Kluyveromyces lactis: one gene and its partners. The protein of the gene in region 1 purifies or fractionates together with the protein of each later gene. This does not show direct contact. Links are inferred from orthologs where the notes say so. Each region holds a gene or a part of one and is shown in the gene's direction. Other genes may lie near its edges. The genes, in order: HSP104, GPH1, STI1, CPR6, ALD4, SGT2 and PDB1.

The links.
Region 2: the proteins of HSP104 (region 1) and GPH1 purify together in Saccharomyces cerevisiae (affinity purification with mass spectrometry, with the first as the bait; 3 studies listed by BioGRID). This does not show direct contact. The link is inferred for Kluyveromyces lactis from reciprocal best matches to the Saccharomyces cerevisiae genes HSP104 and GPH1.
Region 3: the proteins of HSP104 (region 1) and STI1 purify together in Saccharomyces cerevisiae (affinity purification with mass spectrometry; 5 studies listed by BioGRID, with this or other methods). This does not show direct contact. The link is inferred for Kluyveromyces lactis from reciprocal best matches to the Saccharomyces cerevisiae genes HSP104 and STI1.
Region 4: the proteins of HSP104 (region 1) and CPR6 purify together in Saccharomyces cerevisiae (affinity purification with mass spectrometry; 3 studies listed by BioGRID). This does not show direct contact. The link is inferred for Kluyveromyces lactis from reciprocal best matches to the Saccharomyces cerevisiae genes HSP104 and CPR6.
Region 5: the proteins of HSP104 (region 1) and ALD4 purify together in Saccharomyces cerevisiae (affinity purification with mass spectrometry, with the first as the bait; 3 studies listed by BioGRID). This does not show direct contact. The link is inferred for Kluyveromyces lactis from reciprocal best matches to the Saccharomyces cerevisiae genes HSP104 and ALD4.
Region 6: the proteins of HSP104 (region 1) and SGT2 purify together in Saccharomyces cerevisiae (affinity purification with mass spectrometry; 5 studies listed by BioGRID, with this or other methods). This does not show direct contact. The link is inferred for Kluyveromyces lactis from reciprocal best matches to the Saccharomyces cerevisiae genes HSP104 and SGT2.
Region 7: the proteins of HSP104 (region 1) and PDB1 purify together in Saccharomyces cerevisiae (affinity purification with mass spectrometry, with the first as the bait; 3 studies listed by BioGRID). This does not show direct contact. The link is inferred for Kluyveromyces lactis from reciprocal best matches to the Saccharomyces cerevisiae genes HSP104 and PDB1.

The regions. Positions count from the first base shown.
Region 1 is NC_006042.1:1,666,894-1,671,081, forward strand, and holds HSP104 (chaperone ATPase HSP104), read left to right. Parts: upstream 1-1,388; coding exon 1,389-4,088; downstream 4,089-4,188. UniProt on the Saccharomyces cerevisiae protein: Required, in concert with Hsp40 (YDJ1) and Hsp70 (SSA1) and small Hsps (HSP26), for the dissociation, resolubilization and refolding of aggregates of damaged proteins after heat or other environmental stresses.
Region 2 is NC_006042.1:931,895-935,851, reverse strand, and holds GPH1 (glycogen phosphorylase), read left to right. Parts: upstream 1-1,157; coding exon 1,158-3,863; downstream 3,864-3,957. Other genes in the region: MCM DNA helicase complex subunit MCM6, read left to right, coding at 1-234. UniProt on the Saccharomyces cerevisiae protein: Phosphorylase is an important allosteric enzyme in carbohydrate metabolism. Enzymes from different sources differ in their regulatory mechanisms and in their natural substrates. However, all known phosphorylases share catalytic and structural properties.
Region 3 is NC_006037.1:636,046-639,420, reverse strand, and holds STI1 (Hsp90 cochaperone STI1), read left to right. Parts: upstream 1-1,129; coding exon 1,130-2,875; downstream 2,876-3,375. Other genes in the region: RKM4 (ribosomal lysine N-methyltransferase), read right to left, coding at 1-521; SAE3 (Sae3p), read left to right, coding at 3,146-3,255, 3,335-3,375. UniProt on the Saccharomyces cerevisiae protein: May play a role in mediating the heat shock response of some HSP70 genes. It is required for optimal growth of yeast cells at both low and high temperature.
Region 4 is NC_006042.1:502,135-505,119, reverse strand, and holds CPR6 (peptidylprolyl isomerase CPR6), read left to right. Parts: upstream 1-1,366; coding exon 1,367-2,485; downstream 2,486-2,985. Other genes in the region: COA4 (Coa4p), read left to right, coding at 1-153; SCM3 (Scm3p), read left to right, coding at 426-1,028. UniProt on the Saccharomyces cerevisiae protein: PPIases accelerate the folding of proteins. It catalyzes the cis-trans isomerization of proline imidic peptide bonds in oligopeptides.
Region 5 is NC_006042.1:29,838-33,087, forward strand, and holds ALD4 (aldehyde dehydrogenase (NADP(+)) ALD4), read left to right. Parts: upstream 1-1,181; coding exon 1,182-2,750; downstream 2,751-3,250.
Region 6 is NC_006040.1:104,347-107,143, reverse strand, and holds SGT2 (Sgt2p), read left to right. Parts: upstream 1-1,289; coding exon 1,290-2,297; downstream 2,298-2,797. Other genes in the region: ALG6 (dolichyl-P-Glc:Man(9)GlcNAc(2)-PP-dolichol alpha-1,3-glucosyltransferase), read left to right, coding at 1-408; KLLA0_D01133g (uncharacterized protein), read right to left, coding at 2,361-2,797. UniProt on the Saccharomyces cerevisiae protein: Co-chaperone that binds to the molecular chaperone Hsp70 (SSA1 and SSA2). Regulates Hsp70 ATPase activity. Required for recovery from heat shock.
Region 7 is NC_006042.1:882,278-885,273, reverse strand, and holds PDB1 (pyruvate dehydrogenase (acetyl-transferring) subunit E1 beta), read left to right. Parts: upstream 1-1,431; coding exon 1,432-2,496; downstream 2,497-2,996. Other genes in the region: TDP1 (tyrosyl-DNA phosphodiesterase 1), read left to right, coding at 1-372. UniProt on the Saccharomyces cerevisiae protein: The pyruvate dehydrogenase complex catalyzes the overall conversion of pyruvate to acetyl-CoA and CO(2).

The DNA.
Region 1 (4,188 bases):
GACAAACCAAAGGAAAAAGATCCAAAGGACGACACATCAAAGGACGAAAAGTCTGAGGAAGAGAAGCCAAAAGAAGATAAAAAAACCAAGAAAGAGAAGAAAAAGGCTAAGAAGGAAGAAGAGAAAAAGCAAAAGGAAGATAAGAAGAACAAAAAACATAGTGACAAGAAGAACAAAAAACATGATGATGATGATGAATACTCCGAAGCTGAACCTTCAGTGACTGAAGAAAAACGTGTTGAGACGAGTTTCACCAAGAAACCACATCACACTACCTCTGCTGCATTGAAGGAAGGTTACAAAGAGGTAAAGAACGAAACGGACACTGAATGGAAAACAGATGACGGTCACTACAATGGCACTGAGACTGATCATTCTACTGCCCTAAATGATGCTTATAATTGGAAGAGAACTTCGTCCATAGGCTCCATTATTGCTTTCATGATGTCCTTGTTAATTTGATTCAAAAACGAAAGATCATCACGCACATGAGCTGGAATATCTAGTTATACATATGTAGATCTTACAAGGAAAATAATAATATGTTGCTATCCAAAACTTGACACAATGCCAATGATATTGTCTTAATTAACGTGAATTACAAAACTGACGCCTGACATCGAAACAGAAGTGCGTTCCAAAAACCTAGCGTTAAATTTCAAAATCTATCACGTGATGGTGATCCACTTGTTCCAGTTTTTTTCTTCGGTTTTCTTTGTGGACATGCACTTTCGAGAGTCTTCCAGAAAAATCCGGTAATGTTCTAGCTATCACGGTTCCGGACTCTAGCTTAGAGCAGAGTGAATTTTAAGTAGCTTTACAATCCCCACACAGCTTCTACATTGCCGTAAGCAACATGCTGGGATAGCTGGTTGTTTGATCTAGTATTCAACTAACAATAAGGACGTACTTACAATTTTCTATTTTACGTAGCCATGAACGTCAGTCCCAACGGTAATTTAAAAGCTTAACCTTGAGTGAGTGAATTATTCGAGAATGTACTGGTTTATACTGGAAAAGTAATGTAGTTGTTAGAGCTTTGTTTGTCTGTGAATTGGGCAATACTAAAGCTGGGACTGGTACCGGGAGATAGGGGTTGAGGTATATTTTGCTTTGCTATTAGTTTTCTTAATAAGGTGATTTTAGGGTATCTTTTGATAGATGCTTATAGAAAGAATAGGTGAAAAAAAAAGTTTATAGAATATAAGCGTAGTGAAGAGGTATATAAAGGGAGACCATCCGAAGAATCATTTGTTGAGTGCTTCCTGCTTTGGAATTCAATTACATCAATTGTATCAATAGTGGTCTATCTGATAGAAATAAACAACAATTGTCAGGATCATCAAACGCATCAACAGTTTATTGTCTAGAAAGAAGATATTACTACAATGAACGACGAAACACAATTTACAAATAAGGCCAACGAAATTATCCGTTTGGCCCAGAAATTGGCTCAGGATCACAGACATGCTCAGTTACAACCAATTCACTTACTTGCTGCATTTGTTGAGCCAAACGAGGATGGTTCTGTTGGATTCTTACAAAACTTGGTGGAATTAGCGAAATATGATTATGAACCTTTGAAAAGGGCCATCAACAGAAACCTAGTCAGGACTCCATCTCAGACGCCCGCACCATTAGAAATTCAGCCAAGTTATGCTTTCGGGCAGGTCTTGAAAGATACTTCAGAAATTAGGAAACAGCAAAAAGATTCATTCGTCGGTCAAGATCATATATTGACTGCTTTGTTCAAAGATGCAACAACTCAAAGCATTTTTAAGGAGTGTTCCATTGACATAGAATCTGTGAAGCAGCAGATGCTCGAATTGAGAGGCAATCAACGAATTGATTCAAGAGACGCTGATACAAATGAAAAATGGGAATATTTGAAGAAGTATGCGATCGATATGACTGAACAGGCTAGAGCAGGTAAGTTGGATCCTGTTATCGGTAGAGAAGAAGAAATTAGAACTGCCATCACTGTTCTTGCTAGAAGAATCAAGTCAAATCCATGTTTGATCGGTGAGCCAGGTATTGGTAAGACTGCCATTGTAGAAGGTGTTGCTCAAAGAATTATCGACGATGATGTTCCACAAATTCTACAGGGTTGCAAATTATTTTCTTTGGATCTTGCTGCATTGACGGCTGGTGCCAAATATAAAGGTGATTTCGAGGAAAGATTAAAAGGTGTCTTGAAAGAAATCGAGGAATCAAAGACTTTAATTATATTATTCATCGATGAGATTCATATGTTGATGGGCCAAGGTGTAGATGATTCTGCCAATGCTGCTAATATTTTGAAACCAGCCTTATCTCGTGGTGGCTTGAAGGTAATTGGTGCCACTACCACTAACGAATATAGATCTTTGGTCGAGAAGGATGGTGCTTTCGAAAGAAGATTCCAGAAGATTGATGTCCCTGAACCAACGACAAGGCAAACGGTAGCTATTTTGAGAGGTTTACAGCCAAAGTATGAAATACATCATGGTGTTAGAATTCTAGATAGTGCCCTAGTGTCTGCAGCTCAACTAGCTAAGAGGTACTTGCCATACAGAAGATTACCTGATTCTGCTATTGACTTGGTTGATATTTCATGTGCCGGTGTCGCTGTTGCTCGTGATTCTAAGCCCGAAGAATTAGACAATAAAGAGCGCGAATTGCATTTACTACAGGTTGAAATCAAGGCATTAGAAAGAGATGAAGAAACGGATCCAACGACAAAAGAAAGGCTACAACAAGCCAGACAAAAGGAAGCTTCATTAATTGAGGAATTGGAACCAATGAGACAGCGTTACCAACAGGAAGTGGATTCTCATGAACAACTAAGACAAGCCAAAAAGAAGCTCGATGAATTGGAAAACAAATGCATGGATGCCGAACGTCGTTACGATAATGCTACCGCAGCTGATTTGAAATACTTTGCTATTCCGGATATCAAGAAACGTATTGAGGAATTGGAACAAAAAGTTGCTGAAGAAGAATCCAGGGAAGGTTCTGAAACAATGGTGAAGAACGTGGTTAACAGCGAGGTTATTGCCGAGACTGCCGCTAGAATGACCGGTATTCCAGTGAATAAACTAACTGAATCTGAAAACACAAAGTTGATCCATATGGAACGTGAGTTATCGCAACAAGTTGTGGGTCAAATGGAGGCTGTGAAAGCCGTTTCTAACGCTGTCAGACTTTCTAGATCTGGTTTGTCTAACCCTAATCAACCGGCATCTTTCTTATTCCTAGGTTTATCTGGTTCCGGTAAGACTGAATTAGCTAAGAAAGTCGCATCCTTCTTGTTTAATGATGAAAAAGCTATGGTCAGAATCGATTGTTCAGAATTGATGGAGAAACATTCAGTTTCGAAATTATTAGGTACTACTGCCGGTTACATTGGTTACCAAGAAGGTGGTTTCTTAACTAATCAATTACAGAGAAGACCATACAGTGTGTTGTTATTTGATGAAGTCGAAAAGGCCCACCCTGATGTCTTGACCGTTCTTTTGCAAATGTTAGATGACGGCAGAATCACTAGTGGTCAAGGTAAGACAATTGACTGTTCGAACTGTATTGTAATTATGACTTCTAATTTGGGTGCCCAATTTATCAATGCTCAGACTGGATCAAAGGTTACTGAGGGTTCCAAAGAGTTGGTGATGAGTGCCGTTAAAGCACATTTCAGACCAGAATTCTTGAATAGAATCTCAAGTATCGTGGTATTCAACAAGCTTTCTCACAAGGCCATTCACAAAATTGTTGATATCAGAATCAAAGACTTGGAGAAGCAATTTGCGGATAATGATAAGAATTACAAGATCAACGTTTCACCACCAGCTCGGGATTTCTTGACCAAGAATGGTTACTCGGAGGATATGGGTGCTAGGCCATTGAACAGATTAATTCAAACCGAGATTTTGAACCCAATGGCAATCCATATCTTGAAGGGTGAGATCAAAGACAAAGAAATTGTCAATGTAGAAGTGGGTGCCGATGGATCTCATTTAGAAGTTTTACCAAATCACCCAGCTTCATCAGAAATTGGTGATGAAGACATGGATTTGGACTTGGACGACGATGACGACTTAGACCTAGACTGATCTAAAATGAATTACAAAAAGAAAACATACAAACAAACTCACTCAGTAATAAAATTTCAGTTCAACAGTACCATCATATATAGTGTAAAGTACATATTTT
Region 2 (3,957 bases), about 730 kb from region 1:
TGGTATTTACAACAGAAAGAAAACGACATCAACACCGAAGCAGAATATTGGCAAGAAAGGAAATTGGCATTCAAAGTCATCAAAAGATTGGTAAAGGACAGGGTCTTGATGCAAATACATGGTCAAAACGACGATCTATCTGCCGATGTCGAATCCTCAAATGCCAAGACAGTGTATGTGATACATCCGAACTGTAGTGTTCTAGATGAAATCACCCCTAACCCACCTCAATGAAAACTTACTAACTAGACTAATTCAACTAAATTGACCATTTGCACTATCTTTGAAATTTGTAACCATAAATAGATATTTCACTTAATTCACATTTACATCTCTACTTTCACATTCACTTTCACATCTGTGCCTTGCTTGAATTCTCAAGAGAACGCCGATCACGTTGCAAACTACGCTAATTGTATAAGAGAAACCAGTTCACCTTTTGACGAGGAATGTCACTCTTCGTCACGTTGTAACCATAAGCAATTATCCCGTCGCCCCTTAAGCTTTGTAATTAACGTACAAAACTACATTTTCTGAAAGCGTGGGGAAACAATAGAGAACATATTGCATTAAGAGGCCGGAATAAAAGGTTTAGTACGGAGATTAACATGTGCATAGAGGATTTTCGTTCTAACTTTTAAACGATGGAACATAGATCAAGTAACATAGTAATTGGACCTCATAACTTGACAACAGGGATAAACTATATTACTTGATATCACTTGTCGCACATGGATTCAACAATCGGTCTCTGATAGATTAAGGGTTGCGTCTTTGTCTGTATTCGAAAACGAATTAAATGTAGTTATAGGTAAATAGTTAGTTATATCTAGAGAAATACTCGTACATCCATAGTCAGGCCATCCACCAAAATAGTTTCTTTTCAGTTTTTTTTGTTTTTCCGCTTTGCATTTAAATGCCAATTGAACCATTGAAAAGGGATGTCTTAAAGGAAATGAAAGAAAGGGGAGCCTTAACCACCTTGAATGAAGAATTGTGAAAGTTTCAGATACAATTGTTACAATTGTTCAAGGCCAACCTATCAAATATAATAGCAGTTAATTGATTGACTATTTTAACTTGAAAGGAAGCTATATATATTTTTAAGGGCCTTGCAAGCGGTTTTTTAGACTAAGAATAAGAAAAGATAAGCCAAGATGGGTTCCGGTACTGCTAGAAGACCTAGCTTGAGCACTTCCACATCCAATGACATGATGGTTGACGAGCCTCATGGTGTGCCTCGTCTTTCCCGTCGTTTGACTGGGTTTTTGCCTCAGGAAATTAAGAGTATTAATACTATGATTCCTTTGCAGAGTAGAGAAATTTGGAAAAAACATGGGGTTAAGAAGTTTGAAACCCCAGACGAATTTCAGTCCAAATTCATTCAACACGTTGAAACGACATTGGCTCGTTCTTTGTACAATTGTGATGATTTAGCTGCATATCAAGCCACTTCTCAAAGTGTCCGTGACAACTTGGTCATTGACTGGAACAAAAGTCAGCAGAGACAAACAGCGCGTGGCTCGAAGAGGGTTTACTACTTGTCGTTGGAATTTTTAATGGGTAGAGCCTTGGATAACGCTTTGATTAACTCACAAGATGGTTCTGAGGAAAGTGGTGTTGAGAAAAGAGAAAAAATTAAGGGCGCCATTGATGAGTTGGGTTTCAAGCTAGAAGATTTGTTGGAGCAAGAACCGGATGCTGCTCTTGGTAATGGTGGTCTAGGTCGTCTTGCTGCATGCTTCATTGACTCAATGGCAACAGGAGACTACCCGGCATGGGGTTATGGTTTGCGTTACCAGTACGGTATCTTTGCTCAAAAGATTATCGATGGTTACCAAGTGGAAACCCCAGATTATTGGTTAAACTTTGCCAATCCATGGGAAATTGAGAGAAGTGAAATTCAAGTGCCAATTAACTTCTACGGTTACGTTGATAGGTCAGATAACAATGGGGATGGCTCTACATTGTGTGCAAGTAAATGGATTGGAGGTGAAAGAGTCATTGCTGTTCCATATGACATGCCAATTCCTGGGTTCAAGACCGAAAATGTTAACAACTTGAGAATGTGGACTGCTAGACCAACCACTGAATTCGATTTTGCCAAGTTTAACAGTGGTGATTACAAGAATTCTGTTGAACAACAGCAACGTGCTGAATCCATCACTGCTGTTTTGTACCCTAACGATAACTTCCAAGAGGGTAAGGAATTGAGATTGAAACAGCAATATTTCTGGTGTGCCGCATCTTTGCATGACATTGTTAGAAGATTTAAGAAGGCTAAACACTCCTGGGAAGATTTTCCAAATCAAGTTGCAATCCAATTGAACGACACTCATCCTACATTGGCAATTGTTGAATTGCAAAGAATCCTTGTCGATTTGGAACATTTGGATTGGCACAAAGCATGGGACATTGTTACCAAAACCTTTGCATACACTAACCATACAGTCATGCAAGAAGCGTTGGAAAAATGGCCTATCGGTCTATTCGGACATTTGTTACCAAGACACTTGGAAATCATCTACGATATCAATTGGTTCTTTTTGAAACACGTCGAAAGCAAGTTCCCAAGGGACGTTGATCTTTTGAGTAGAGTTTCCATTATCGAGGAAGCCTCTCAGGAAAGACAAATCAGAATGGCTTTCTTAGCCATTGTTGGTTCTCATAAGGTTAATGGTGTTGCTGAATTACACTCAGAATTGATTAAGACTACTATCTTCCAAGATTTCGTCAAGATTTATGGGCCAGGTAAATTCACCAACGTTACCAACGGTATCACACCAAGAAGATGGTTGAAACAAGCTAATCCAAAACTTGGTGAATTGATCAGTAAGGCTATTGGTGATCCTCAAGATGACTATTTGTTGAACATGTCAAAGCTAACAGAGTTGGCAAAATTTGCTGAAGACGAAGACTTCCAAAGTCAGTGGAACGACGTCAAGCAATTCAACAAGCAAAGACTTGCAGATTTGATCGAAAAATTATACGATGGAGAAGATGTCATCCAGAGAGATAATATCAGAAACACCTTGTTTGATATTCAAGTGAAACGTATTCATGAATACAAACGTCAACAAATGAACATTTTCGGATGTATCTACAGATATTTGAGTATTAAAAAGTTGTTATCGCAAGGCGTCCCAATTTCAGAAGTTGAGAAGAAGTACCCAAGAAAGGTATCCATCTTTGGTGGTAAGAGTGCTCCAGGTTACTACATGGCCAAGTTGATCATAAAGTTAATCAACAGTGTCAGTGATGTTGTTAACCATGACAAAGAGATCAATAACATCTTTAAAGTTGTATTCATCCCTGATTACAACGTTTCTAAAGCAGAAATTATTATTCCAGCCAGTGACTTAAGTGAACATATTTCGACTGCAGGTACTGAAGCCTCTGGTACATCCAATATGAAATTCGTTATGAACGGTGGTTTAATCATCGGTACTGTTGACGGTGCCAATGTCGAAATCACAAGAGAAATCGGAGAAGATAACATCTTCTTGTTTGGTAACTTGGCAGAAAACGTGGAAGAGTTAAGATATCAACACCAATACCACGGTGAACCATTACCACAAGAATTGGAGGAAGTGTTCCAAGTCATCGAACAAGGCACCTTTGATGGTGACTTCAAGCCATTAGTTGAATCTATCAGACATCATGGTGACTACTATTTGGTGAGCGACGATTTTAAATCATACTTGCAAACCCAATCTTTGGTTGACGAAGTGTACCACAAGAACAAGAAAGAATGGTTGAAGAAATCCATTTTGAGTGTTGCCAACGTCGGATTCTTCTCCAGTGACCGTTGTATTCAAGAATACGCCGACGAAATATGGAACGTCGAACCCTTGACCAACTGATTTTCCTCCTATTTTTTAGAACCTCCTCAAATCCCCGCCAGAGGTTTACCCTTATAATACACTACTAAACAATACTTGACTTTATCACTATATA
Region 3 (3,375 bases), on another chromosome or scaffold:
TCATCATAAGTTACTTCTCCAATCTTATCGGCAACATTAAATGTTTTCATCAACTCCAGAACTTTGACGTACATATCCTTGGATTGTTGTTCACCCAAACGGTCCAGCACCAAAGAGGGCTTCAATTTATCCAAATCTTCCTTATCCCAATAAATCAACGTATCAAACTGATCTGGTAGTACCTGAAAGTATGGCCACCATTTCGACTTCTCGCCAAGGTATTTCCACTCGTATAAGATGGTTAAAATCAAACCATGCCAATGTTCAACCTTACTCAGCAAAATTCCTAAATAGCTTTCATCCAGTTTACCCAAAGAACCGGTGATAATATTCAATGAAGCTGTCTCAGGTACCGAAAACAGCTTCTCTCCCTCCTTCACGTCGTTAATGCAGATCATAGATCTACCTTGATGCTCATCTCTCGAATCGACAATTTTGACATTCTTAGACAATTTGATTCCAACTGTGGGTAACCACTCTAAAAACAAATCAGTTTTTCTTTCAAAATCAGTAGCAGTCATATTTCCAAATCCCGCTTAATAACGCCTAAGAAATGTTCAGATATAGGCCTTAAGGTCCTTCTTAAATCACTAATCTTTGTTCGCGATGAGCTAACCTCCAGATTAGGAACATATTAAATTTTCATCAATGTCAGAATAATAATGACAAAATATAGATAGGAAACAAACAAAAATGTGGTGAAAAGGATACTACCAGGGTTAATGTTCAGCGCTAAATTGAAATTCATACGGTAGTCAATAATTGAAACGAGAAGCAATGAGTAATGAGCACAGAATTTCTCGTTATATGGATATGTCAGGCCTCTGTTTTTGGGTTATACAACATGTGTGTTATCACGAGATCCGGGTAACATCATGTCAAGAACGTTCTCGAAAAAAAATACTGCTCTGCCCTAACAATCTTTGAACAATTGACATCCAACTAATATAAAAAGAGGGAGTTTTGATAAGATCGAATGGTGAATTTGGGCCAATAAGTTCAGATAACGCGTCGAATATCAACCTAGGAACAGTTGCTAATTGTCTAACTGAAACAGTGTTATTCGTTTCGTCTTATTGGTACTAGCGTCAAGAAACAAAGAAAAAAATCTAGGGATTTTACAAACGAGATGAGTGCTGATCAATTCAAACAAGAAGGTAACCAGGCATTTGCCTCCAAGGATTATGCCAAGGCAATTGAATTGTTTACTAAGGCTATTGAAGTTTCAGAACAGCCAAACCATGTTTTGTTCTCTAACCGTTCTGCATGTTACGCTTCTAATAAGGATTTTGTGAAGGCGTTGGACGATGCTAACGAATGTGTAAAGATCAATCCATCGTGGGCTAAAGGTTATAACAGACTAGGTGCTGCGCACTACGGTTTGGGTGACCTGGATGAGGCTGAACAAAGCTATAAGAAGGCTTTGGAGTTGGATAGTGCTAACAAAGCCGCACAAGATGGGTTATCGCAAGTGCAACAAACTCAACAACAAAGAACTGCGCAACCGGATTTGGGTTTAGGAAACATGTTCAAGGACCCAATGATGATTGAAAAGTTGAAGAAGAATCCGAAAACCGCCGAGTTTATGAAAGATCCTCAATTTGTCGCTAAGATTTTACAGTTCCAACAGAATCCACAAGCTATGGGTCAAGAAATGTTGTCCGATCCTAGATTGATGACTGTTCTTGCCGCTTTGATGGGTATCGATTTATCAATGGACCCAAACGAATCCAACTCCATTCCAAAGGAGGAACCAGCGGCCAAGGAAGCTGCCTCAGCGACTAAAAGTGAACCAAAGGCTGAACCAAAGGCTGAACCAAAAGCTGAACCAAAGGTTGAAACTAAAAAGCCTGAACCTGAACCAATGGAAGTTGACGATGATAAATCCAAGGCCGAAGCTGCAAAAGCTGAAGGTAACAAGCTTTACAAACAAAGAAAATTCGATGAAGCTATTGAAAAATACAATGAAGCTTGGGAAACTCATAATGACATCACGTATCTAAACAACCGTGCTGCAGCAGAATATGAAAAAGGTGATTACGAGGCAGCCATCGAAACTCTAACAAAGGCTGTGGAACAAGGTAGAGAACTCAGAGCTGATTACAAAGTCATTTCAAAATCTTTCGCTCGTATGGGTAACTCTTACCACAAGCTTGGCGATTTAAAGAAGGCTATCGACTACTATGAAAAATCTCTAACTGAACATCGTACCCCAGATATCTTAACGAAATTAAGAAACACAGAAAAGGAACTCAAGCAAAAGGAAGCAGAATCTTACATGGACCCTGAAAAGGCAGAAGAAGCTAGATTACAAGGTAAGGAATACTTCACTAAGGCTGACTGGCCAAAGGCTGTCGAAGCATACACTGAAATGATCAAAAGAAATCCAAACGATGCCAGAGGTTACTCTAACAGAGCTGCAGCTCTATCTAAGTTGATGTCATTCGCTGACGCCATTAGAGACTGTGACAAAGCCATCGAGAAGGATCCAAACTTTGTCAGAGCATACATTAGAAAGGCCACCGGTCAAATTGCTATCAAAGACTATGCTGGTGCCATCGAAACACTTGATAGTGCAAGAACCAAAGATGCAGAGGTCAACAGTGGTGCAAACACTAGAGAAATTGACCAATTATACATCAAGGCCTCCCAAGCTAGATTCGAACCTGCAAACGCCAATGAAACTCCAGAGGAAGCGTATGCTAGAGCTACCAAGGATCCAGAAGTTGCATCAATTTTACAAGACCCTGTCATGCAATCTATACTCTCACAAGCTCAGCAAAATCCTGCTGCTTTACAGGAACACATGAGAAACCCAGACGTCTTCAAGAAGATTCAAACCTTGATCGCCGCTGGTATAATCAAGACTCGCTAGTTCTACAGACAGTCAGTCATATTACTCGACCTGAAACTTCAACATGAATTAGTATATATACACGCCTATGTTTAGCATTTAATTCTCTTCCAGATATATATCTATACCATTATTCTATCAGCATTGTCTGATGGGCTTTATGTATTAATGCAAATTATGTTTCCATTATTAATTTCTCCATATCATTTTCTGATATTTATCTTCTACAAACAACATTGAAATCTACAGATGAGGAACTATATACACAGAAAAAGGGCAAAGAGTAACATAATGGGCGTTGAGGATCGTTTAAATCGTAAACAGCAGCGACTCGCTGCCCTTAAGGTATCTTACCAGGAATTAGAGAAGAAATTTCAGACGTTGGCTCACGAATTACATATGTATGTTTTACCTTATTCTATATTTCCAAGTTTCGGCGGCTAAATTGCAACGATACTAACCAAAAAAAAATATTAACAGAACTGAGACGCCAGAAAAGATTAACTTGAAACATATTGCTG
Region 4 (2,985 bases), about 1.2 Mb from region 1:
GGCTGTTACGTAGAGAATCTAGCTTTACAACTTTGCCATGCAGAGACTAATGATTGGAGACAGTGTCTTGGTGAAATGAAACTGTTCAAAGATTGTTGGCAATCCAAGGGTAATGACCAGAGAGTGGGGACAGTCGATGCAAAAGAACATTGAGATTTGCATTTACAGGTGTAAAAAGATCCTTCACTGTGAAGCTTTGTCGAAATACTCCACATATTGTATATAGACCCATTTAATTGTATATGCGAATACCCATCTGAATATTTTTAGTCTACGCAGCGCAACATTTAAATTGACATATTTTAGTTAAGGATAATGAATAATCGTTTCAATACAACATTTACACCAGAACATAACGAAATTTAACCAGTTCCCGGACCATAGGTGAAGTTTCCAAGTAGAATTACAGCAATAGTGCTTTATTGATGATTAAAAGACCATCAAATAGTAAGAAGAAGGCTAATCTTCGAAGATTGACAGGTGCATTAAGGGATTTGCTAGGCGAAGAGGAGCCAAAGAAAGAAGAGAATCTAAAACAAATTACTCGAGATGGTGTGGTTTACATCATGTCTAAAGAGAATCGATTAATTCCTAAATTGTCAGACGAAGAGGTTATGGAGCGTCATAAGAAAGCAGACGAGAATATGAAACGCGTATGGTCCCAGATCATACAAAAATATGAAAGTATAGATAATCAAGGTGATGTAATAGATTTACAAACTGGAGAAGTCATAGAAGATAATGGCCATTTACGAAACTTGAGCAACGAAAAATCAGTTCTACATAGTTCGCTACCAGATGGTGGTTCAGTGTCTTATAAAAGTGTTCTGAATGACATTATGGATATTAAAGACTCATCATATAATTCATCGGTTTGGCAAGATCACGAAACTAACGATTCAGAAACAGGGTCCGAGTCTGAATCTGGTCTCGAAGCCGATGGTTTAGATGAGGGATCTGGCTCTGAAGCAGATAACAGTAATGAAGTTTATATGAAGAAGTTAAGACCTAATCCTGAAAGTAATTAGTTCAGGCGCTTCAGATATTCATTTATCACTGTGTTTACGGTTCGTTCATGTATTGATATATTTTTAAAGGTTTTCTAGCAAATTCGAAGCTTTCCATCTTTTATCGATCTAGCCTTGAAAAAACCACAACAAAAGTACAATGAGAACGGCTGAAAAAGAAGTATAAATTGAGTAAAGTCCATTAGTAACCTCTCTTGACAAACCCAGCTTGTATCATTGATCTTAAAGGTAGGTTACGGCAAAGCGGTTGTTATTTTGAAGAAGCAAACTAACCCTGCATTATTTCTACCTACGTGGAGAAAAAAGTACACATACGAGTTAGCTCATTGAATTTGAATATGAGTGAAACAAGACCTAAGACATTTTTCGATATTTCGATTGGGGGCAAACCTGCTGGTCGGATTGTTTTCGAGTTGTATTCTGATGTTGTTCCAAAGACGGCGGAGAATTTCTTAAAACTCTGTGAAGGTAACTCGGGATTTGCCAAATCCAAACCGGATATACCATTGAGCTACAAGGGCTCGATCTTCCACAGAGTTATCAAGTCTTTCATGTGTCAATTTGGAGATTTCACTAACTTCAACGGCACTGGTGGTGAATCGATTTACGGAGAGAAATTTGAAGATGAGAATTTTACTTTGAAGCATGATAAGCCATTCTTGTTGTCTATGGCAAACGCTGGTGCGAATACCAATGGATCTCAATGTTTCATAACATGCGTTCCAACTCCACACTTAGATGGTAAGCATGTTGTTTTCGGTGAAGTGATCCAGGGCAAAAGGTTAGTCAGAACTATAGAAAATAATGCTACAGATGAAGCTGATAAGCCGGCCAAAGAGGTTAAAATTGAGGATTGTGGTGTGTTACCATCCGATTATACTGTTCCTGCAGATGCAGAAGCGACTCCGACTGATGCGTATGGTGACAATTATGAAGAAAATATAACAGACGATTCGAAGGTTGATCCCAACGACGTCAATAGTGTCTTGAACGCTGTAGAAGCAGTAAAAGAGATCGGTACTAAACAATTCAAGGAGAAAAATTTTGAAGTAGCCCTTGTGAAATATGAAAAAAGTAGTCAAATGCTTAAGCAGTACTTCCCTCAAGATTTACCAGAGGAGGATGTTAAAAAAATTGACGCATTAAGGGTATCCTTATTCTTGAACATCGCTTTGGTGTCTCTCAAGAGTAAAAATTACAGTAGAACACTTAGCGCCGCCACTGAAGCCCTTCATGCTGACAACACAGACGATAAATCCAAGGCCAAGGCATTGTATCGCCGTGGTTTAGCTTATTACTACACAAAAAACGCAGAAATGGCCGTGACAGACCTCGAATTGGCTACTACATACCAACCACATGATACTGCAATTATAAAGGCTTTACAAGACGCCAAGAAAGCCAAAAAGGAGTTGATTGCTAAACAGAAGAAGTCATTATCCAAAATGTTTTCCTAATTTCGATTCCTCTTATAAAACAAAATAAAATGGATACGTGTCTTAGTACTGACTATATATTTCCTCACATCTTATTCAAAATCCTTATCACCTATCAAAGTAAAATCAGATGGAAATATTCAAGTAATTAACCATCAGTTAAATAGTATGCTTCTTGCGATGACGGACATAAGTACGTTCCGCTATTCTCGAATGCATAGCAGATCCCTATCATTTCATACGTATTGCGTACTAAACGACATCCAAAAATTTTCAACTTTGTTCAAGTGGCAAAGAATAAAGAAAACAATGGCCAAAAACAATGCTTGACATGCAACAGCTCATTCAAGGAGAAAAGTCACCGCTCATACACCGGCATTTTGGACCTCCCCACTCCAAACACCAAACTCTGTACCCCTCTAGGATCTTTTGGCTACCACATTAGCTACTTCTTTGTCGTTTCAGTGCGTTACGTTACGTTAAATAAACAGCATATTTGAAGATTGTTAGTGTTTTCTATC
Region 5 (3,250 bases), about 1.6 Mb from region 1:
GCTTAGAGCTACCTAGATAATGTTGTGTCAGTAATGCAATATTCAAAACAGAGAGGTCCAGAGACCGGAAATAATGAACCGAATATACGCAAAAAAGAAGTTTCTCCGATCTCGATATTGCAATCTGCCGAAAAAAAAAAAAGGGCGTCAATGATTAGCTAACATAAGCCAGAAATACAGAAACACTGGCAGTGATTGAAGTTTTGATGTAATCTGTTGTATTGTGTTTCTTTTAGACCCCTCTTTCAACTACCAAGTATCGTGCCTAAGTTATTGTGTCGGGAGGGGAAACCGGAACGGAGGGGCATATTCATTAGCTAATATAGTAAACGAGTAGAAATATACTGGAGATTTGTTTTCTTAGCAAAAACTGGTGTTTGAAATTCACGGAGTATATTGAAGAACAGGCGCGGGCAGTGCAGCACATCTAATAGTGTTGCTATAAACCAAGACAACGAGATACTGCCCTTCGTTCGGAAGCACAACTCAAGTGACCAGTCACACAATTCTAGTTTATCCACCAGTTGTTCTCCCGAAAAGAAAAAAATGAAACGATATTCAGAGTGTTTCTGCTCTCTTGCGCTTATTTACCGGTATTTACATTAGGCCACAATCCAATTTGCAACATTTGGCTAGTGATGGGACAGAGGTTTTCCTTTTATGACCATACTGTAAAGGGTTTGTATCCACGTAGTATCAACATACGTTAAGCGGGGTCATTCGAGTTCTCAACATTTTCCCACTTTGCTTCTCCATTTTTATGAGCTACGGCTTTTCTGTTGTTTTAATCACCCTTAATTCAGACACTTCCTTCACTTTAGAATTGTATATATACATATATATATATATATATAAGCTATATGATTTCCAGTTTATTCACTCAGGACGCTATTTCAGGAGATTTGGACTTCAGCAAGAAAAATTAACTAATTACAGATAATCGACCTAGTTGATATTCCTCTAACGCTATATTTTGTACCGCGTTGACAATATACATTATTTAAGGTTCAGATATCATTGACAAGTTTCCCAAAAAAAAAAAAGGGCAACGAATACTGACACATTGAAAAAAAGAATCGGAATTTCAACTAGACGCTTTGAGTTCAAAATTTTAACCATAATACCATATTCGTCTATTAAGAAAACCAGTGCGATTCAAAAGGCAAAACTTTTCAAATAAAATGTTATTACGTACTACCACTGCTGGTACTAGACTAGCTTTCAAGTCACAAACTGCGGCATTCGCACATGCTTTACGTTACTATTCGCATTTACCATTGAAGGTCAAGGTTGATTTGCCAAATGGTATTTCATACGAACAACCAACTGGTTTGTTCATCAATAACCAATTTGTTCCTTCCAAGCAAGGGAAGACTTTTGAAGTGTTGAGTCCTTCAACCGAAGAAGAAATTACTCATGTTTACGAAGGTCGGGAGGAAGACGTGGATGCGGCTGTTGAGGCTGCAGACAAAGCTTTCAAGTCCGGTGTCTGGTCTAAGGTTGACCCACTAGTCAGATCTCAGTGTTTGAGCAAGTTAGCTGATTACATTGAAAAGGATTTGGATACCATTGCTTCTATCGAATCTCTGGACAATGGTAAAGCTATCTCATCTGCTAAAGGTGATGTTCAACTAGTTGTTAACTACCTAAGATCAGCTGCTGGCTACGCTGATAAGGTGGATGGTAGAGTCATTGATACTGGTTCGACTCATTTCTCTTACACAGTTAGAGAACCATTAGGTGTCTGTGGTCAAATTATCCCATGGAACTTCCCATTGTTGATGTGGGCTTGGAAGATTGCTCCAGCTCTTGCTACCGGTAATACTGTTGTCTTGAAGACCGCTGAATCCACACCTTTGTCTGCACTATACGTTTCTCAATACATTCCAAAAGCGGGTATCCCAGACGGTGTTGTGAACATCGTTTCTGGTTTCGGTAAAATTGTTGGTGAGGCTATTACAACTCATCCAAAGATTAAGAAGGTTGCATTCACTGGTTCCACTGCTACTGGTCGTCATATCTACCAAAATGCCGGTGTCAATTTGAAGAAGGTCACATTGGAGCTAGGTGGTAAGTCACCAAACGTTGTTTTCGCTGATGCAAACTTGAAATCCGCTGTTCAAAACTCTTTGTTGGGTATCTACTATAACTCCGGTGAAGTCTGCTGTGCTGGTTCCAGGTTGTATGTTGAAGAATCTATTTATGACGATTTCTTGAAGGAAATTAAGTCTGCTTCAGAAGCTCTAAAGGTTGGTGATCCTTTCGATGCAGAAACTTTCCAGGGTGCTCAAACTTCGCAAAATCAATTGGACAAGATCTTGAAATATGTGGAGATTGGTAAGAATGAAGGTGCTACTTTAATTACTGGTGGTGAAAGAATTGGTGACAAGGGTTACTTTGTTAGACCAACTATTTTCGCTGATGTTGAAGAAAGCATGAGAATCGTTAAGGAAGAAATCTTCGGCCCTGTTGTCACTGTCACCAAGTTTAAAACCATTGATGAATTGATTGAAAAGGCCAACGACTCTGAATATGGATTGGCTGCAGGAATTCACACATCTAACATCAATACTGCCATCCAGGTTTCAAACAGATTGAATGCTGGTACCGTCTGGATTAACACATACAACGACTTCCACCACTGTGTTCCGTTCGGTGGTTTCAATGCTTCTGGTATTGGTAGAGAAATGGGTTCTGAAGCTCTAGACAATTACACTCAAGTCAAGGCTGTCCGTGTTAAATTGGAGTAAATTGGCTGATATGTAGTTACAGGCACAAGGTCTGCACATGAGATCATGATATTTGTATCATAAAATATAACTTACGGAAATACCTCCAAAAAGAAGATGCATATCACGCTCTTCAGCTCTTCTTATTACCGATTTTCGCGAGTAAGTTGATTTTCTGGAGAATTCTGACAATCTTTATATATCCTGATTATTTATACCGATTTGGTTAGCTGTGTTTCATACTGTGAGATGCAGACCATTATTTACTATTGGCGTATATTATGATTTAATGAAAATGCTAAATGAAAATATTCTTTGATTAATGTCGTCTTTGCTGCCTTAGTACAATTTGGTAGTGCGACTCATCTGATATCTACATTTAGGCTCTATCCAAACAAAAACCAATGCATTCTGCAATTTTTCTAAATCGGAAAATAAATTACGTATATTGTCTATTAATGAAATAATAAAGGGTTATCTGTCGGAATTATTATCAACCTAGAAGATTGTACGTGTTATGA
Region 6 (2,797 bases), on another chromosome or scaffold:
GTGGCATTGTTTACACTCTGGCCATTACTGAAAAAGGACAATCTAGTATTGCAATATGGAGTCATGTTCATGTTTAGCAATTGGTTGATCGGTAACTTCAGTTTCGTCACACCACGCTTCCTCCCAAAATTTTTGACACCAGGGCCATCCATCAGTGATATAGATGTTGATTATAGACGGGCAAGTTTACTACCCAAGAGCCTAATATGGAGATTAATCATTGTTGGCTCATATATTGCAATGGGGATTATTCATTTTCTAGACTATTACGTCTCCCCGCCATCAAAATACCCTGATTTATGGGTGCTTGCCAATTGTTCCTTGGGCTTCTCATGTTTTGTGACATTTTGGATATGGAACAATTATAAATTATTCGAAATGAGAAACAGCACTTTGCAAGATTTATAGATGTTAAAATTTATAATAGCAGTAATGATACGGGGCGTACCTTGCAAGAGCAAAACCGGGATATATATTTCACTCCTCTGTTTAATCATTTAGGATTCTACTTACACTTTAATTAGTATTCATATATCGAATGTCAGTTTCGATCAAAAATAAACAAAGACAAAAAGCACCAGTATAAGACTCGTAAATGAGAAAAACAATTCTTCGTAATGAAATTCAATATAGTAAAACTCTCCATGCTGGATGCACCGTATTTGTGTAACGGCATACTCACTAAATAGGTAAAGTCTGAATATTACTTTAAAAGTATCATATGATCTGTTGTAGCTGTTATATAGAACGAAAAGTAGTAACCGTCACGAAATCTTATTCCTCGTGGCCCAATGGTCACGGCGTCTGGCTACGATGTTAGCTACTTCTGAAACCAGAAGATTCCAGGTTCGAGTCCTGGCGGGGAAGATTTTGTTTTTGATTAACTTTTTCCTTCTTTCAAGGAGCCAGCAACTCTTTGAACTTCCTTTCCATGGTTGATGGTTCCAAACTATTAGTAGCTTCTATCAAATATCACTACTTCTCAATTAAGACGGCACGAGTCAGCTTAAAAATGCTAACGATGTGAAATTGACGTGTCTCTGTGAATCTTTCGTCTTCTGTTGCCTTCTCTAACCGAAGGTTTTTCCGTACTTATCATTTTTTCGCCATTCACATTCAGGAAAAAGTTTATTATAATAGTGCTTAAATGACAAGTTGCCTGGATTTTATGTACTTTCAAAGAAGAGTTATCATTGACTCGTCCTTTGTTACTGCTTCATCTTATCGTATACAGCGGTTTGTGATCCTTATTTCATCTTAAAGCACTGTCAAAAGTTTAGAAAATCCGAATGTCCCTATCTAATAAGGAAATTGCTGCTTTGATTGTTGACTTTTTGTCATCATCGTCTTCTTCAGTAAACGAAGACTATGTTGATTCGTTGAATGTTGCCATCGACTGTATCACTGAGGCCTTCCAATTTGAAAGAGATGAGACTGATTCTTTAATCTCTGGTCCTTTTAATGGCAAGAAATTACCTGAACTATTAGCCTCAGCTCCCTCTTCTGGAGGCGTTTCTGGTGAACCAGTGAAGGTTCATATTCCAGTTGAAGATGCAGCAGCTAAGGCCAAGGCTGAAGAATTAAAGCTACAGGGTAACAAGGCCATGGCTGCTAAGAAATTTGATGAGGCTATTGAAAAATACACTGCTGCTATCGAAGTTTCTCCATCTAACGCTGTTTACTACTCGAACAGGGCTGCAGCTTATTCTTCTTTGAAGCAGTACGAACAGGCCGTTAAGGACGCCGAGCAAGCTATTGAAGTTGATCCTACATATTCTAAGGGTTTTTCTAGACTTGGATTTGCGAAGTATGCTTTGAATAAGCCTGAAGAAGCTTTAGATGCTTACAAGAAGGTCCTAGATATCGAAGGGGAAAAAGCTACTGACGTTATGAAAAGAGATTACGAAACTGCCAAGAAGAAGGTAGAAACCTCAATGAACTTAGAGAAGAGCTCTACCAGCGCTTCTTCTGAAGATGTTTCTGACAAATCTGCGACTGAAGGTCCTGGTGCAGGCGCTGGTGGCTTACCAGATCTTTCAAGCTTGTTAGGTGGTGGCGGTCTAGGCGGTGGTTTAGGAGCACTGCTAAACAACCCTCAAGTTATGCAAGCCGCTGAAAAGATGATGCAAAATCCAGGTCTAATGCAGGATATGATGTCCAATCCAGCAATGAAGCAAATGGCCAACCAATTCTCATCTGGTGGCGGCATGCCAGATTTGAGTCAAATGATGAATGACCCATCTATTAGAGACATGGCCAAAAACATGTTTGGTGGCGGCAACGGCAGCCAGCAATAACCAGTATACCCAAACTTTTGCTTGTCCTTTTTGACTGTATATATTTGATCTATATATGACTAGTTAAACATGCCCTTTCATGGTATCAATCAATTGTTGCATGATTTGTTTATTTTCCCTGATTCTTTGATCAACTATGGATTTAACGATATGATCGTGGTAAAACTGCTCTTTGAATTCGATGAATAGATTTATCCCCACTGCGATCGATTCATGTGTTGTTTTGATTTCACCGCCAATTTTCTTAAGGTTCAAAGAGCTCATTTTCAGTTGATTGGATAACTTATTCCTAAATTTAGACCTTTTACCTTCAATGTAGGTATCTATAAAATTTCTGTTTGCTGAAGAAGGAGGCGCCTTGTCATTTGGGAAATTTTTCTTCCACTCTTTCTTCAGTTCCATTAATTCACCAAAATGTTTCCACCATAAAGTTGTCTTTGCGAGAAGAGACTCAAAGTTATTAAGTAAAGTGACAACAGAGTGCTCTAGATATTCCAAGT
Region 7 (2,996 bases), about 780 kb from region 1:
CAGTCCGATAAGAATAGGCATATGGTTCCAAGCCATACCAAATATTATATACAATTCACAGATGAAAATACACTCAAGCGACCAGATTGGATACTACTCACCAGTCATAACCTTTCCCAAGCTGCATGGGGTCCCAGCCCACTAAAAAAACCTACCAATTACGAATGCGGTATTCTATACACGACAACCATGGGGAGAAACAAAGTACGGTTAACACTAGCAAGTGCCCAACAACCGCCAGGAAGAACAATTGGGTCAAGGGTACCCGAAGACATAACTGTTCTGCCCACAGTAAAAGTGGTGACGCCGTATCCATTGAAATTTCAGCGTTACTCAGCAACTGACGAACCTTATACCTCTGTCGTTCAATGATGATATACACAATAATACCATCTAACAACATTCTAAGGCGCTGACATCTGTCAGCGCTTTACGTTACCCGGATTATTTAGGTATCACACCGGAATAACAGAAAAATTGACAATGTCCGCATCATTCCCACGCATCACGTGCCCCCACCCTTTTCCGTCGTTTGAACACCTATACACCTCATCGCCTCCATCAATCTCATCTGCTATGTCGTATTCTCCCGTCGCCAAAACAGGTTTTTTCAGCAGATTTGTGATGGCGCACTTACTATGCGCTAGCATATCTATGAGATAAATACAACGGTATAGCAACCCGCGAATCGCTCGACCCGTACAGTCGAAACGAATAAAAAAAAGCTTATGCAGCGCATATATATTCCTTTAAAGGATTTTGATTTCACCAATATATAAAGAAATATAAGAGGGTCATTTCAGCACCAGGGAAGTTGTTAGTTCTTTAGAGTCGTTATTCCTTTATTCATTGTATTATCTTCTGTTTTGTGTTTCATTTTTTATACTTTATGGATCTGTAATTCAATACTTGTTTAATCTTACTTTATAATTTCTTAAAGGTTTTATAAATCTTACTACAGATTCTCATCCAATCCCACTCAATTAGCGGTTCCCTGAGGCTAACGTCTATTTGTTGAATAGGTCAAAGAACGAGTTTTTATTTTTTTTCAGTGAAAAAATAATATCAAATTCAAGAAATTATAAAAAAGAATTCAGTTGAAAAGGATCCTTTTTAGTTATAGAATTGACAATTGACTATCTAATTTGTCTGTCTTATAACAAACGCATCTCAACAACTTCTGTCTGTTTGTTTATTGCTTCGTTTTTGTTTTCGAATTATCAAAACATTATTTCTTCTACCTTTAAAAGAAAAAGAAAAACGAAAAGATATCAAACTCTAGTATAATATTCATTCTCCTTTGGTTCAGTAAACGTTTTACAAGCGAAGACAATTTTAAAGGTTAAGAAGAATTACACGTAGTGAAACGAAACGTTAGTACCCGATTGATAAAAACTTTCAACTGGCAAAATTATTAAATACTAATACAACATGATGATGCTTTCTAACACTTTTAAGAGGGCTGTTCCTTCTGTGGTTCAATCCATGAGATTTGCTTCTACCAAGACCATGACCGTCAGAGAAGCTTTGAATTCTGCCATGGCCGAAGAAATGGACCGTGATGATGATGTTTTCATCATTGGTGAAGAAGTTGCTCAATATAATGGTGCTTACAAGGTTACCAAGGGTTTATTGGACCGTTTCGGTGAAAGAAGAGTTGTTGACACTCCAATTACCGAAATGGGTTTCACTGGTTTGGCTGTTGGTGCCGCTTTGAAGGGTTTAAAGCCAATTGTTGAATTCATGTCTTTCAACTTCTCCATGCAAGCTATGGATCAAGTCATTAACTCCGCTGCTAAGACTTACTATATGTCCGGTGGTACTCAGAAATGTCAAATCGTTTTCAGAGGTCCAAACGGTTCTGCTGTCGGTGTTGCTGCTCAACATTCCCAAGATTATTCTGCTTGGTACGGTTCTGTTCCAGGTATGAAGGTTTTGGTTCCATACTCTGCTGAAGATGCTAGAGGTTTGTTGAAGGCTGCCATTCGTGATCCAAACCCAGTTGTTTTCTTGGAAAACGAATTGTTATACGGTCAATCTTTCGAAGTCTCTGAAGAATCTCTGTCTACTGATTTCACTTTGCCATACAAAGCAAAGGTTGAAAGAGAAGGTTCTGATATCTCTATCATCAGTTACACCAGAAATGTTCAATTCTCTTTGGAAGCTGCTGAAATTTTGTCTAAGCAATACGGTGTTTCTGCTGAAGTTATCAATTTGAGAGCCATTAGACCTTTGGATGTTGAAGCTATCATCAACACTGTCAAGAAGACCAACCACTTGATTACTGTTGAATCTACTTTCCCAGCTTTCGGTGTTGGTGCTGAAATTATCGCTCAAATTATGGAATCTGAAGCCTTCGATTATTTGGATGCTCCAATTCAAAGAGTTACTGGTGCTGAAGTCCCAACTCCTTATGCTAAGGAATTAGAAGATTTTGCTTTCCCAGACCCTGACACCATTGTCAGAGCTGCTAAAAGTGTTTTGTCTATTGAATGATTGCACCGTGCACTCTTTCTTTACTGACAGTTATGCACCTCTGTTGGCCTCCGTTTTTTATCAAAACAAAAGAGAATATTCATTGGATAAGGAATAGTGCATGATGGTTCATTCGCATTCGGTTTTTCTTATGATTGTACTCCTTTGTTGCAATAAACTAAGTTATGAATTGATTTACAAACTTCAAAGAAAAATAGAAAAATTAAAACATATTATATTATTAAGATATGAATACCAAGTTCAGTTAATACACGATTTTGGATTAGGAAATAGAATGAGATAGAGTTGCCTGTCGTTGAATTATTCGCTGGTAAAGGTAAGTTGATGAATTAGAGATTTTACAATTTTTTTTCATGTATGTTGCCCATCAGTAATGATGAAGAAAAGTTTTCATCACTAGAGATGGGAACAATAAGGTATTTGGGGACAACTGCGGTTGTTATGAGATTAAACTGTATATATATATTCTGCCGTTAAAACAAGACGCTGTGCGCTACTTT